Linked DNA regions of Alligator mississippiensis. The protein of the gene in region 2 purifies or fractionates together with the protein of the main gene of each other region. This does not show direct contact. Links are inferred from orthologs where the notes say so. Each region holds a gene or a part of one and is shown on either strand. Other genes may lie near its edges.

The links. The genes of interacting proteins can lie anywhere in the genome.
Region 1: the proteins of RBM17 (region 2) and SNRPB2 purify together in Homo sapiens (affinity purification with mass spectrometry; 3 studies listed by BioGRID and IntAct, with this or other methods). This does not show direct contact. The link is inferred for Alligator mississippiensis from reciprocal best matches to the Homo sapiens genes RBM17 and SNRPB2.

What each region holds. Positions count from the first base shown.
Region 1 is NC_081824.1:218,461,053-218,468,873, reverse strand, and holds the start of SNRPB2 (U2 small nuclear ribonucleoprotein B''), read left to right. Parts: upstream 1-4,805; 5' UTR 4,806-5,015; intron 5,016-7,821. UniProt on the Homo sapiens protein: Involved in pre-mRNA splicing as component of the spliceosome. Associated with sn-RNP U2, where it contributes to the binding of stem loop IV of U2 snRNA.
Region 2 is NC_081827.1:9,433,960-9,441,974, reverse strand, and holds the start of RBM17 (splicing factor 45), read right to left. Parts: upstream 3,011-8,015; 5' UTR 2,928-3,010; intron 2,219-2,927; exon of another isoform or gene 1,985-2,218; intron 1-1,984. UniProt on the Homo sapiens protein: Splice factor that binds to the single-stranded 3'AG at the exon/intron border and promotes its utilization in the second catalytic step. Involved in the regulation of alternative splicing and the utilization of cryptic splice sites.

The sequences.
Region 1 (7,821 bases), on a different chromosome or scaffold from region 2:
CTACAATGTGATCCGACACTTCCTGTACATCTTGTGCTCTGCTGCTTTCCCATGCATCTGTGCAAACGGATGATGTAGCTTTCAAAAGCTGACATGTCATTATTTCCGTGTATTTTTATGCAAAAGACATGCTGTTACTCATAACAATATAATTATTTGTTATGTAGATTATGAAGCCATATGCAGGTATTTCCATCAACAATTAAGTGTTGCAAGGATAATTATATCATTGATGCTTTCTTGGAAATAATAACTCTTCACAGACAGTGAAGTGTAGCATCACCATCTACTTTTCTGGAGAACTGTATTCTAAAGATAGTCAGTCATCTTTCTCCAGGATTCAGTTTGGTATCTTTTCTCTCCTATATATCTATTAGCAACGTGACCTTCCCGAATTCCTGCCACACTGCACAAGTATTCATATTTGCAAATGATACAGATCTTGTATCTGCAAAATGCAGGATTAATGTAGTAGCCTGCTATCCATATCATCCGACCTGGGCATTGCTATAGTCTCATTGTGGTTTCCTGGCAACAAAGTGCTACAGCACTTTCATGAATGTTAACAATTTTTATTCATATAGCCTTTAGTGACTTCCTTAGAGTCTTGCAGAAATGAATGAGTGTATCATTGTTATCTGCTTCTTGAATATCAGCCTCAAACACAAATCTTTTTCTGTTCGGGGAAAGAATTATTAATGTGATTTCATCTAGAAATATCACTTCTATTTTTCTCAGTAGACATTTAGTTCTGGGATCTTACCCTATTATTTCTCCTCAAAATATAACAATAATTGCATTTCTGGTCATATTGTCTGGAACAACTCTGACTGATTTTATCAGGTTTTAGTTTTACAGGAGGAACATGTGACAATGTAACTAATATATTGCTGGGTATATAGCTGTTTCTTTTAGAAAGAATAAAATAATTAAAATTGCAATTTAAAAATATTAATATATATATATTTTTTTAATTATAACTAGGAAAACCAAAACAAAGAGCTGTCACAGATATGTTATATTCCCTAGTCTATATTTCTTCTTCGAGTAGAAACTGAAACTGTGGTGGGGACCAATTTGTACTGGGCATATACATATAGTAAAGGAAGGTCCCTTCCCTGAAGAACTTAAAGCTGAATCCTAATTCATTTTATGCATCTAAATGCAGTTATGCAGTTACATTATTCTGACTTTGGGCACTTATATGCAGTTTTTTTATTCCATTTTCCCTGTGATGGAATAGGATCAACCTATGTGAGTACCTGCCAGAAGCAAAATGGAAAAAGAGAAGGATACATGGTCCAGTACATTTGATCAGGTATATGCAAAAGGCCAGGTAAGTCCTGAAACTATAAGCTGGACAAAAACTTGAGACTAGCAGGTGTTAGGCATCATAGGATATCTAATATTTAGCTGCTTTCCACCTGCGTTCCCATGGGAGTTTGAACTTATATCTTCTGCTTCCTAACAAAGTAGTCTAACCATAAGGCCACAGGATAGACATTAAATGGGTAGCTTCCCAGTCCTCTGCATCTTGCATTTAATGTCCATTGGATGAAAAGGACAGAAAAAAGTCAGGAAGTTTCTGCCCCATTGAGACCAGGCCAAAACCCAGGACATTCTCCTATCCAGGATAGTAACTATCTCCCTGAACTCAACAACCTTTAGTTTGTATTCTTCATCCTGGCCCCACATATCTTCCTCTCTTGGTTGTCTAGAGGCCAGCTTCAAGGGGAGGGCTAAAAAGGATCTGGATAATACCTAGCCTGTGGCCTGGTGATTACAGCACTATACTAAAATGCAGGTCCAGGTGTCATCTGGATGACGGGGATGTAGGATTAAGGTCTCCTGCTCCCTGCTAATATATGGGAGGGATCTAACATTCTGGCATCTAACACCCAGAAGTCATGAATTTTTGCCTGGTGACCATTTTGGGACTTACCAAGCTTACGTGTGTACCTGAGTAAAGGTAGAGCACTGTGTACCTGCCCAGCAAAAGCACAATTCAACTGAACATATTCAGTGAGACTGGGGATTGCTGGCATTTTCTGCAGGGTGCTTGGAATCTAAAAAGTTTGAGAATCAGTGGAATAGATACAGAGTTATTCATACTTCCTGAGGTGACCTAGGTTCTGCTACATTACCAGGACAGCGAGAAAGCTTGTCTTGCCACTGCTTTTGTTGAATTTGTTGTATAAGGGACTAAGTTAGAGTCCCATCAAATCAATGGAGAAATCACTGTTTTAATGAGCTCTGTGTCAGGTTCAACAGAACTTGCAGCTTTCAGTCCCTGTCACTGTCAGTTTAGACCTTGATCTTGAAAACACTTGAACCCTAAGCACAAGCTTGCTCCTACTGATTCAATGTCAATTTAAGCATATGAATAAGTGATTGCAGAATCATTTCCCCCATCGCTTGAGGGAAAATTAATAAGCCACAACCTATTCAGCTTTCCACATTACAATTATTTTAGCTCTTTCTGGTTTACTTAGATCTTATATAGCACTTCTCACCTGAATAACTCAAGCCATTCAGTAATGAAGTAAATACTATTTTAATGTTATCCATGCCACTTTATTCCTCCATTCAGAAAGAATCCTGGAGGAAAGCATCCCTGAAAATTGACCAGAGAATACTGGCCTCAAAATGTTCTCACAGCATAATATGAGACTTCATCAAACATGTGCTCATGGGATTATATTCCGTTATGTTAGATTATTTTGTCTATTATGAATAATGTCATATGCACCTACTCTCATTAAATTCTGTATTCAGTTAGTAGGCTGGAATGCAAAGCCCTGGCAGATAAGACAAAGTACTGAACAGAAAAGGTTTCAATGCTCAAATAACACAAGGAGAATTTTAGTTGTGATTCAGCCTGGCCAAGTTAAAATCATCATCTATTTCATCAGGAATCATCAGCAAGACAACATCTGTAAATAATGTCATGCAGGTTTCTGCCCAAGGAATAGCTCATGGTTCAAAGAGGAAAGCTAGCTTCCATGACCTATATTCTTCTCTTGAGAAGCAGGACACAGAAGGCCTGGAAAAAGCTGGATTTATACTACATTTGTGTCACCCAGATTCTGGCCTATCACATGGGCCAAAGTAGTTTATTGCTTGAGTTAGAGGGAGATTTTCTTTTTCTATTCCTACCAGTCTGCCACCTATGCTGAAGTCTATGAAATGAAAGCAGTGAAGGACTGTAGCAAACAAGAACAAAAGATAGAGTTCAAAGCAGAAGCCAGGATTCAGCTTTAATATGTTGCAGTTTTCCCATTTGTCTTACATCAGAAGTAGTCCTAGGATATGCAATTAATCTAAAATGGTGTCCACCAGCAAGCAGTGCTGGATAATATTGGTACCAGAGGAAATTTGGACTGATTAAAAAACCCAACCAGACATAAATCCCTCTTCTTTCCATGAGTTATATAAGCCTGAAGTATTAGCTTATATGAAAAGAAAAACAAAGCAGTGCCTTTATCTATAGCCATGGTAGTTTTATGTAAGGTTTCGGTGGTGGCTTAATAATTTAATTTCCTTTTACAGAATAATTTAATATTAGCTTTCCCCACTGGGTTATTTTTCCCCACCATATTGCTGGGGGTGGAGGGGCTTTGTCAGCTGTGGATTTAAATAAGATACAGTGAAGAAGGACTCTTGGCAGCAAGCAGAACTAGTTTCTCAGTTAACAATCAATGCACAGGCTTGCATTGCTGTCACAAATATTGATACACTGTTTTGTGTCCCAAGTCAAATTGCTGTTTAGCTTGGTGGAACAATCAATCATATCCCAGGATAAAAGTTCTTTGAAAGATCATGCTTAACTCTCTGGCAGCCCTAGTTTGAAGATGGGGCCAAGAAACCCTTTTGATTATTAACATTGTTCTATGACAGATTGTATAGGGATATTCTTTCCCAGATTGTTTTCCTGGATAAAAGAGTCCTGGGAGCGAGGAAGTGTGTGAGTAATGTATTTCAATCACATTTAGCTGATATAAGGGGTTAGTGGCCTCTTTGGGTAATATATAGCTTGGACTGAGTTAGCCTAAAATGAGTTTAAGATGAATTCCCTGCAGAAATGGTTCACATCGTGTGATCTGGCTGCTGAGTAGTATTTCTTAAGCGACAGTGTTCCAATCTGACTTTCTCAAAGGTCATGATTACTGAGCAAGGTTAATATGGGAACACTTCTTTCCTACAAGCAAGGTCCTTAAGGCATCAGGTTTTTCAAAGAATTTACTAAAAAGAGGTTAGGAAGCATTTAATGTATAAACTCTAAAGCTGATACTTCACTGCCCTGCTGCTTGTGTAGTCATTTGTGTAAGTGCAAAGGGGTACAAAATGTTGCCATGTCAGAGTAGCAACATGTTACAGTCAGTTTGTGCTGGTGAATATTACTTTCTAGGGTGTGTCAGAACCCATTAATTAGATGCCTATAGCACAGAGGAGAATTGGTATAGCCCAGAGGAGAAATGACATAGCACAGAGGAAAATTCCATGGGTTCGATACATATGGCATAGTTTTGCTGTCAATCATTCTGGTGGCAGTAACTAGGTCATGGAGGAAAATTCCGCTATGCCTGAACCCAGTAACCAAATGCTACAATAGTGGAAAATTACAGTTTAGAAAAAAGTTCCCGCCACTCATATGCAAATTCACATTATTATTGGCCAGTTTTAAATTATTCCTACGTGGCGACTAGCGATTGGCTTGCTAGCCATATAAGAGGTTGAAGCAGTTTCTGCCCAAGTTGGAGAACTCCACATACATCTCGTGGAGAGCTCTGAGCACGCTGTGGAGCCTAGCAAACTCCGCGTGTGTCTTAGAGAAGGACTTAGGGGCCTGATCAACCTCTAATCGCTCCCCGTCACCGACCTAGACCTAGACGTAACCCGACAACTGCCGGCTCGACACATTTGCAGACCGAATGAACTTTGTAATTTCTGCCCGACCCAAGTTTTGTTTACAACTGTAATCGAAGCAAGCTTCTGGCCTGCACTGTACGAGCAGTGTAAGTAAACAACCTTTTTGTTTAATCAAAACGCGTCAGTACCTGATTCCACTCCAAGCATCACAAGTGCCCGCCCGCCGACTAGGGCTCCCAAGGCCCCGAACCCCGCGCCGCGGCTCTTGGCGGTGACAGGGTGCAGGGTGATAAAGGTCTACAAAGAATATTCGCTTTTAACACATGCAGTCAGATTAAAGTATGGATTGCTTCAGAGCCTGGATTTTATGTGGTGTATTCAGACAACACCACTGTTAGCTGAAATGTGAAAAAGGACAGGAAACAATAGGAAAGAAAACCCAAGCAGTTTGTGCATTTTTATTGTTGCTGTTAACATTTGAAAGGGCAAACTAGGCTGCATCATGATGGAATCTAAGTAATTAGATGGTTTTCTTCAAGGATAATTTTGTATTTGAATAGTTGGCCAGTTTCCCAGTAGAATCCTAGTAAGTTTGTCACAATTTAGTTTTGACTATGCCCCAGTCTGTTCCTGAAACAAAGAAACTATGAACTATATTTTACTTAAGAGTCGTTTATAAATCCACAATCTAGTCTAGTGCTTCCAGTGACAGCTCTGCTATCCAGAGACTGTCTTTATTCTATGCCTGTATGTAAAGGGAACAATCATCCTGGACTTTTTGGGACAGTTCTGAATTTGGGGGCTGTGTCCTGGTGTCCCCAAAGCTTCTTTGAAATTGAATTTTTATTCCAAATTTGAAAAATTGGTCCTGATTTGGTGACTGAGATTCACAAATTATTCAAAACTGACTATCCACCATCAGTTTCAAGGGTGCTAACAGTTGCCTGTAAGGTCTCTGGGCACATACCCGAGATTTTACTTCCTTGAAAATGGTTGCTTTCTCTGTATAGTGCATAGCAGAATGGGATTTAGATCTTTGTTTGGCTTTTAGTTGTTCCTGTAAAGAATGATATTGTGTAGGTCAGTCCATATAAAAATCCTTACATTTCCAGGAACACAATTTAGATTTATCATTTCTGGTAAGCCTTTATCAGTACTTTAAAATACAGTGATTGAAGCCTGAATATTAGCAATAACTGATGTTCTATCAGTAATTAAACCAGTTTGGTCATTAATTATTAGGAATGTTGCCATCTCGTTTTAAAAGTGAAATAGGACAACTCCAAACATATCTGTAGGGCTTGGGGGAGAGATGGATACTATAAGGTAAAGGAAGAAGAAATTGTACTCTGAGGATAGGTGTACAGTCAGAGGTGCTGCTGTCAATCTGTGAGTACAGAACACAGAATCATATTGTGATAGCTTTAATCCAAGTAGAAGGGGTAGCAACATGGGTTAACAACACGAGTATCTATCTACCCAGATGGCTTCTGTAGTCCATGGTGAAACCTGAGATATTATGTTAGCACGCTGCCTCATGCTGCAATGGTACCTTCAACTGCAACTATGTACAGACCCTGAGAAAATTAGTTATAATGGCATCAAATTCATCTTGGAATTTTTAGATATCTGTCCAAAGCAAACATAACAAACCTGGATACACAGTTTTCCAGGATATACTGTAACCTCAGAGAAGAGTTGAAGAGACAAAAGTTGAACAAAAAGGAGGTTCTGATCCTATTCTGGCAGGAAAAGAACAGAGAACTAAGTGCCTTTTTTCGGATTTAGACATGGGAGGAGATGTCTTCCTACCTACTCTTGAAAATTCAGGAGCAAGCCAGGGAGCCTCAGCATAAAGAAGTCAAGAAGTAAGAGCCTAAAAGTTCACCTGGCCTGCTGCACACAAACTATGGTGAAGTAGGAAGGTTCAGAAAAGCCTTCCTGAAAGTGTATGCAAACATTTCCTGATTTTCATTAGAAGTTCATGGAAGCTTTGCAACACAGAGGTTGAAAAATATCTGTTTTTCAAGGAATGTTGAAAAATTGCTTTAATTTTATGTCAGTTTTCATGGCAAACACTGGTTTCAGTTTCAGCAAAATGAAACTACTTATATTATTTTTTGAAAAATACAGGTTTTAAAAACTATTTTAAAAAATGTATTTAAGTGATATATTTTTAGAATTTAGAAATGTTGTTTAAAATGTGTTTTGTATTTCACTTAAGGAAACAGAAAAATTAATAAAAAGTAATGTTGGCTCAAAAAAAATCTATTCTCAATGGAAAAGTAAGTTTGACAAAAATAAACCTTTTCTCAAACAAATGCTTTGACAAGCTCTACTTGGCACTTTCTCCTTTCAAGCTTAAAGCAGGACAGTTTTATTTGTTTTGTGTGATAGCTGAAAAGTATTGCAGATGTTAGTGTGCACAAAAGCAAGGTGAAAAGTATAGTCCCAAGCCACACTTGGAGTTAAGAATACACCACTGGAGTCAATCAGAATTTTTCTGTTGGGTTGTTTGGGAGTAAAACTGAACTTCTTACTATTAGGATCAGAGACTTGCGCACCAAGCCATTTGAGGAAAGGCTGAAGCAGCTGGGATTCTTCAGCCTGAAAAAGAGAAGGCTGAGAGGAGACTTGGTAGCAGCTTATATCAGGGGAGTACATCAAGAGGTTGGTGAACAACTGTTCACCAGGGCACCCTTGGGGAAAACCAGGAGTAATGGCTACAAACTCTTGGAAGACCATTTGAGGCTCAACATTAGGAAAAACTTCTTCATAATTAGAGTGTCCAGACTGTGGGATAAGCTCCCTCCAGAGGTGGTGCAATTGCCTACCCTGGAAATCTTCAAGAGGAGGTTGGACGGTCATCTTGCTGGGGTCACCTGATCCTAGCTGTCTTTCCTGCCTGGTACAGGGGGATGGACCCGATGATCTTCTGAGGTCCATTTCAGC
Region 2 (8,015 bases):
TATGAAGCGTCTGAAAGTTAAGGATATGCCGCAGAAATATGTCAGAACCACTGAGGACATATATTGCAAATGTACAACGAAAGTGAGGAGCAGTTTGAGAGAGACAGAGTTTTGAGGTGAAGATGGGCATTCATCAAGGGTCAGCTTTGAGTCCGTTCCTATTTGCGGTCACGATGGATGTGTTTACTGAACAAATAAGAAGGAGACCTCCGTGGAACATGATGTTTGTGGACAACATGGTCATTTGCGCCAAGAGTTTAGAGGAAATGCAAGCTGGTTTGGACCAATGGAAAGAAGTACAAGAGGGAAGAGGAATGAAGATGAGTTGATCCAAAACGGAATACATTTACTGTGATTTCTCTGAGATACCTGATGTTGCAAATGTGATAATCGATGAGAAACATGTTCGAAAAGTTAACAAGTTCAAGTATGTGAGGTCAACCGGTCAGCAGGGTTAGATGAAGAGTTGAACCACTGAGTAACAGCAGGGTGGACAAACTGGAAATTGGTGACAAGACTATTATGTGACAGGAGATTATCAGTGGAGCTGAAGAGGAAAGTCTACAAGACGTCCATGTGCCCAGTACTATTGTACGGAGTGAAGACAGCCCATGAAGAAAACACAAGAAAGGCGACTAAATGTGACAGAGGTGAGACTGCGCAGACGGATGGGTGGAGTGACGGAGATGGATAAAGTGAAGAATTCTTACATCAGAGGATTGGTGAAGGTAGCGGAGGCATCTAAGAAAGTACAAGAGAGAAGACTGGCATGGTACGGGTATGTTCAAAGGAGTCCAGAAGAATACGTAGGAATAAAGTTATCAGAATGGTGCTACCAGGGAGAAGGGGAAGAGGAAGGCCAAAGATGAGATAGAGAGAGATACTGCAGAAGAACGTGAGAGGAGTTGGAAGAAGAAAATAAGTATGACCGAAGTCAGTGGAGAGCCAGGATCTGCAAAAGCAACCTGTTTAGACAGGACAAGCAAGGGAAGAAGATAGATATAGACAAATATATATACAACTATTTTAAAGCTGGCTCCTCCTATTACTAATCAGAACTTCCTACATCTGCCGGCCTGGTGGACAAGCTTATATTCCACCCTGATCCCACGACCCTCCAGGGGACCTCAGCTACTGGCTCCTCCACAGAGCGATTGCTATGGGCATGTATCTGGTGCAGTTTATGGATGCCCCCAGCTCCTGCCCCTTCTGCGATCAGAGGGAGACCCTGGTACGTGCCTGCCTGAAGAGTGCCAGGCTGCAGCGCCCTCTAGGACTTCCTGCTGAGGCTCTGGCTGCACTACTCCTGCATCGTTTCACTTATGCTCTCCCTATCCACAGCCCCATTAAGTCCCGGGACCCTCATGGTCAACCTCCCCCTGCCCTTAGCCAAATTAGCGATCTATCTGATCAGGAAGGAGGATCTGGGTGGGAGACCCCCCAGGGACCATGCAGCCGGTTTCCTGTCCCTCGTCTATTCACATCTCCGGGCAGAGTTTCACTGGTCCACTCACCACTGGCTCCTTGGACTCATTCGAGGCACTGTCCCACGTCCCCCTCAGTGCACTCGTTTTTAACCTACAACCTTCACTCCCATCCCTGCTTTGCTTTTTGTCCCATGTCATCAACTGACATGTATCCAATAGCCCCCTCTATTAGCAAGGGGCACTAACTGTTGCTTTGTGGGCCTAAGGCCCATGTCCACAAAACGTGTCAAATAGGCCTGTCCAGGAAAGAGGCTCCAGCTGGGGGTCTCAACAGGGACTCTGGGGCCATCCTCCTGTCCCTTATCTAATCACGTCTGCGGGCATTTTCACCAGATGGCATCTACTGACTCCTTACACATGTTCGAGGGCCGGTGGGCGCTGGCTGATGAGCTCTGCTCGGGGTCCCCCATCCTTGGTGCTCTCGTTATCCAACTCTGACCCCCGCTCCTGTCCCCGCTCTCATTATAAGTTGTCCCAAGGAATCAGTGGATGCATACCGAGGGGCCGCCGGCCCTCCAACGAGTCCAAGGGGCTAGCGGATGCTGCCCGATGAAACTCTGCCTGCAGACGCGAGTTGAACCAGGACAGCAAAGGAGCCCGGCAGTCCCCGACGGCTTCCCTGGCTGGAGCCTCCTTCCTGGTCAAACAGACGTCCCGCTTGGCTAGGGCCAGGAGGAGGCTGACCAGGAGGTCCTGCGGCTCGGCGGGGCTGCAGACGGGGAGCGCATAACCGAAAAGGTGCAGGCCCTGTTTCTTCTGGGCATCCCTGCAGAGGGACCCAGCACGGCCACATGACACCGGTCCTGGTAGCTCTTCCTGCCTCTCCTCTCCTCTCGCAGCCTCCAGCCAGCCGCTTCTTCCCTGCTTGCAACCAGCTCGTCTCCACGGTCCCCCCAACCCTGCGCTGCCCCCGCCCAATGCAGGCCTGGCGACAATGCCCTCCCCCCCCCCCCCCCCACACACACACACACACACACAGCACAACCCCCTACAGCCGCGCCCCCACAATGGGACACCCTCCCCCCCTGGAACCCCCCTTCCCCCCCATGGAACCCCCCCACGGGACGCCCCTCCCCCCCATGGAACCCCCCACGCAGGACGCCCCTCCCCCCTATGGAACCCCCCCCACGGGACGCCCCTCCCCCCCATGGAACCCCCCACGCAGGACGCTCCTCCCCCCCATGGAACCCTCCACGGGACGCCCCTCCCCCCATGGGACCCCCTCCTCCACAATGGGGGCGCCCCTCCCCCCTTCTCTGGCCCCGCCCCCGCCGTGAGAGCCCCTCCCCCACGTTTAACCCGGGCGGACACCCCGTCCCGCCGCGCACAACCCGACCCCACTGCTTCCCCCCTTCCCAGCCCGGCGCGGGAAGCCCCGGCCTGGTGCGGCCTAAAGCCTCGGCCTCGATTAGCGACGCGGGCCGGGCCCAGGACACTCACTCGCCGCCGCCATGAACGAAGCGCCGCGAGCCCCGCGCCTGCGCAGTCGCCCGCCCGCCCCTACGTAAACGGCGCAGCGCACGGCGGGAAGGGGCGTGGCTGAGGGGAGCTACGCAAACTGCGTCCGACTTGGTGGCAGGGCAGAGCGGTGTTGGAGCAAGCTGCGCAAGTAGCGGGAGAGTTACGCCGCAAGGCTGGGCCTCGTAAAGCAGGAGCTGTGCAAACTTCGTAGGCGAGAAGAGGAGGGGCGGAAATGTCGTTACATCACCATAGAGAGCGCGGCTCCGGGAGAGAGAGTATCCGCAGAGGGGTGGCGTCTGCCCCCTAGTGGCAGGGAGGGGGTACTGCGCGCTGCGCCCCAGGGGAGCCCTGTAGGGTGGACACAGCCATAGGCTGGTGGGAATGATGAAATCAGGGGTTAATTACAATTAGAATGTTAATGGCCGTTAGAATGTTAATTTGCATTCTAATTGCAATTGGAAAACCCTTTGCACACTAAAGGTAGGGCTCACTTCCCCCAGCCCTCCCTGGGTGACACCCACATGCCTGGGTTTCAGGCTTGGGAGCATTTTGGTCCTGAACTGGTCCCCAACGAAAACTGGCTGCAGGGCCCTCCTTGCAGGTGTCAGAGCCCTTCTCTACAAGAACAAGTGCAAAGTCCTGCACTTAGGACAGAGCAGTCCCACGCACCAGTGCAGGCTGGGGTTGATGGGCTGGGCAGCAGCTCTGCAGAAAGGACCTGGGGGTGACTGGACAACGAGCTGAATATGAGCCAGCAGCGTGCCCTTGTTGCCAAGAAAGCTAACAGCATCCCGGGCTGCATTGGTAGAAGTGATGCCAGCAGGTCAAGGGAAGTGATTCTTCCCCTCTATGCAGCACTGGGGAGGCCACATCTGGAGTACTAGGTCCAGTTTTGGGCCCCCCCACTACAGAAAGGATGTGGACAAATTGGAGAGAGTCCAGTAGAGGACAACAAAATGGTTAGGGGGCTTGCGAGGAAAGGCTGAGAGAGCTGGGTTTATTTAGTTTGCAGAATAGAAGACGGAGAGGTGATTTAATAGCATCCTTCGATTACCTGCAGGGAGGCTGCAAAAAGGATGGAGCTGGACTGTAGTGGCAGATGACAGAACAAGGAGCAACGGGCTCAATTTGCAGCAAGGGAAGTTGAGGTTAGAAAGTCTTTCCTCATATCTCCCTGGAAGGGCAGTAAAGCACTGGAACAGGCTTTCCAGAGAGGTGGTGGGATCTCTGTCCTAGGAGGTTTTTAAGACCTGGCTAGACAGAGCTTTGGCTGGGATGATGTAGTTGGGGCTGGTCCTGCTCTGAGCAGGCGGTTGGACTAGATGTGACCTCCTGAGGTCCCTTCAACCCTCATGTTCTGTGATTCTTTGATTCTGTATTTCCCCCTGCTCCCCGTAGGAAGCAAGACTAGCATTGGGACGGGACTGAAGGTAATGCACATTCAAATCTCTGAAAAGGTGGATTTGCAAAGCTGAGGTAGAGAGCCCTCTACCATCTCAGCCCCTGGGTTGTAACATCCCCTGTTCTTTACATGGAGCCAAACCCACCAGGCATTGGGAACAGAGCGGGGCTGCCCCCTGTGAACGAGTGAGCCCCACTGATGCTCACAGGCACCATTCCCTCACCTGCACCGCAGGGCAGGCACCCTGCCTTTCCCAGCGCCAATTCATAGTTGCAACTAGCTTGGCACCTTTGGCAGTATCATGTTAATGCAAGAGTGGATATCTCTGTGCCCCCTGAGTCACCAGTTCCTCTGTACTTTGTGCACCCACCCCAAGGAGACAGAGGAAAAGCCAGCCTGTGATTGTGCCCGTTGCATGTGTGTAATCATGTCACCCCCTCTGCGGACATCGCAGCCCTTCTCCCTGCTCTCAGCAGGAAGCAGGGATTGCATTGGGAAGGGGCTAAAGGTAAAAAAGGAGAAGATGCATCGCTCAGGTACCTGCCAGCCATGCTTGTATAGGGGAAGGTATCTGGAAGCCACCCCTCTGGGGAAAGGAGAAGCAACCTGCAGGCGGGGGGGGGAGCAGGGTCCTAGCTAATCACAAACATAAATAATAAACCAAAATAATGAATGGAGGACAAGAGAAAGAAAGAAAACCAAGCGTTACGATTTTCCATGAGCATGTTAGTGCCAAACAAGAGCCCTGGGTTTTTGCTCATTTCTTTTGTTCATAGAACAAGATGCAACAACACCTCTTCTAGCCAACTCCCCGCTGCTAGTTCTCAAGAAAAAGCAGGAGCACTGTGCATATAGAGCAGGGAAGGGCACAATGCAGCCCATGGGCCAGATGCAGCCCACCAGGCCATTCTCTCCGGCCCGCGGAGCCCCTAAAAATTTAGAAAATTAATATTTACCTGCCCCTGGCTGTCTGTCATGCGGCCCTCGATGGCTTCCCAAAACTCAGTAAGCGGCCCTCCCCCCAAAATAATTGCCCACCCCTGATATAGAGTCTTCCATCTAATCCCATCTCTCTATTTCACATGACATTTTAGGATTGCAATGTTCATACAACATTCATAGTTTAATATCTAAATTTGATAGCCATTTGACTGTTTCAGGGGTAGCTGCACGGATTGATTTTAGATCGCCATTAAATGATCGAAGAGGGCAATCATTCACAATGTGTCACACCGTCTGAAAACTCACACCACAGTCTCAATCCAGTGATTCTTATCCAGGGTACCGCGAGAGTCTTTCAAGGGTGCCCCTAGGTGCCATGCGGTTTTAGTACTGTTAGCATACAAACATAATTCACAAGATAAGCTCAGAAATTTCAAATAGGGATCCATTGTTTTGAAAACACTCAGATCTGCTGTGGTCTTTTTGAGTTCTTTGCAATAGAAAAATACTGAAAGCAGCTTTTCTGTAGTCAAAAACTAGCGAAAACTAAGAGCTGGCATTTTCCGAGGGGTGCCTTGAGTCTAACAAGGGGTGCTTTGAGTCTAAAAAGGTTGAAAACCATTGATCCAATCCATTCACTAATAAACTGATTGTTCAGTTCAACTCTTTAAAAAAGACCTGAAACCAAACAGCCTAACTTTTTGCCCCAGAGCACAGTACTGTAGTTGTGCACACTCCATGTTTATCCCTTGTTTGAGTGATACCAATGCTCTCTCTGCCTATCTATCTAGTCTTTGGGTATGCAACAGCTCTTTTATTAATGTGTTCGTACAGAATTTAGCACTATGAGGTCCTGCCCCAGGACTGGGGCTCCCAGGGGCTACCCCTATTCAAAGCATCAGTATGGAAATATAACAGGAATATAATGTTACAGCATCTGAAAAGTCCCCAGCCAGATATTATACAAAAGCTGCAGTTTTCAGACAAAATTCTCACTTTAATTCTCATTCCCGATTCTCATTCCCGATCTCCCATCGGGAATTTTGCTGCATTTAGAGTCTCTTAACTTTTTTTTACCCCTCCTCCCACCAAATCTGAGCTGTTAAAAATATTTAGGGACTGCTGAAATCTGAGAGGATTTCTCCTAATATTTTGCCTGCTGTATATGTAAAAGCGGGCATCCCACAGAAGGGAGAATCGTTCTCCCTTCTCTCTTCGGGCCCCACATGTTGTGGTGCTTTGCAACCGTTTTGTAAGACCTGCTGAGACAAGAAGGGAACTCTTACTGCTGTTTGCACAGTATGGAATTGAAAGCATAAACCGGCATTTGCTTGAACATCTGAAGCAGTTTAAAAAAAAAACCAAAAACGTGTTGCCTTTTACAGAAGATCATGTGGCTCAATGAAACTTTGAGAACTGGGGAAGGCTCGGCCAATATTCAAAGCAGGGAAGAGGTGAAATAGAGAAACAAACTGGCTGCCTGCCTGATCTGATATTGTCTTCATGGGTCTGGGGTGGGGGGGTTATCTCAATATCCTCCATAGTTGCTCTGCTGTTGTGTTTCAATTTTTTTCCCCCCACTCAAACCTTGAAAACTGATGAATGGTCAGGGTTGGGGGGAAGTACACAGCCCTTGTTGGCTACTACAAAACAAAGCAAATCTCCTACCCACCAAGTATGTGACGTGGGTACTTTCATAGACATTAGATTTCATAGACATTCGGGCTGGAAGGGATCTCGGAAGATCTCCGAGTCCAGCCCCCAGGATTATACCCAAAGACTAGATATGGGTATGTCAGCCTCAGGAGCAGGAGGGATATCAGAGGCTCCATCATCACCTGCAACACTCACGTTGCTTTAAAATGTCTCCTTACCCCCAGAAGGCTCCAGGAGCAGATGCAGGATGTTGAAAAAGGGGCACAGGAGCAGCACCCCCTACTCCCAGCCTCCTCCCCACCAATACCAGTGAGACCAGACCGTGCCATGAGATCGGCAATTAGGGACCATTTTAAGTCCCCCAAAACAGTTAAGCATTCCCCCCCACCATACTCTTTGCTCAGAGCATGTCCCTTGCCACACCTGCCACTGCTGCTGTATATGCAATCCTGGGGGTGAAGGGAGCTCCTGTCTCCCTCCAGCTGGGCTGCATGGGGTCTGGGCTCAGCCTGGGACAGTGGTGGCAGTGGGAAGTTTCCCCTCCTTGCATCTGCTCCCAGACTGGTGGGGAACACCCAGGGGAACCAGGCAGGGAGAGGGAGCCCACCTGCCACCACCACTATTACTTTCCCAGACTGAACCCAAGTCCAGCATGGCCCAACTGGAGCTGGGTCGGAGCTCTCCTCACCCCCAGGACAGCAAGGACAGGGGCAGCAGCAGGCAGGGGAGGGGGAAATGGGAGGGGAGGGTACAACCTCAGCTTGGAGGGGAAAGGAGGGGGCAATTCTGATCTTCAGGACTTAAAGAAGTCCCCAACTGCTGCTCCTGCCCCATGGTCAGAAAGTGGGGGTGGGGGTGCAGCCCCTCTGGATCTGCCCGAGAAGGCTCCAATAACTCAGTGCATTGCATCATAAAAAAGTACAGCTCCAATGGACCCCAGGAGGTCATCTAGTTTAATCCCGTGCTCAAGGCAGGATCATCCCTATATAAAGCATCATAGGCAAGTATTTGTCCAGCTATTTGCTTTTAAAACCTTTGTGAACAATCCCCATGCATGACTACCAAGC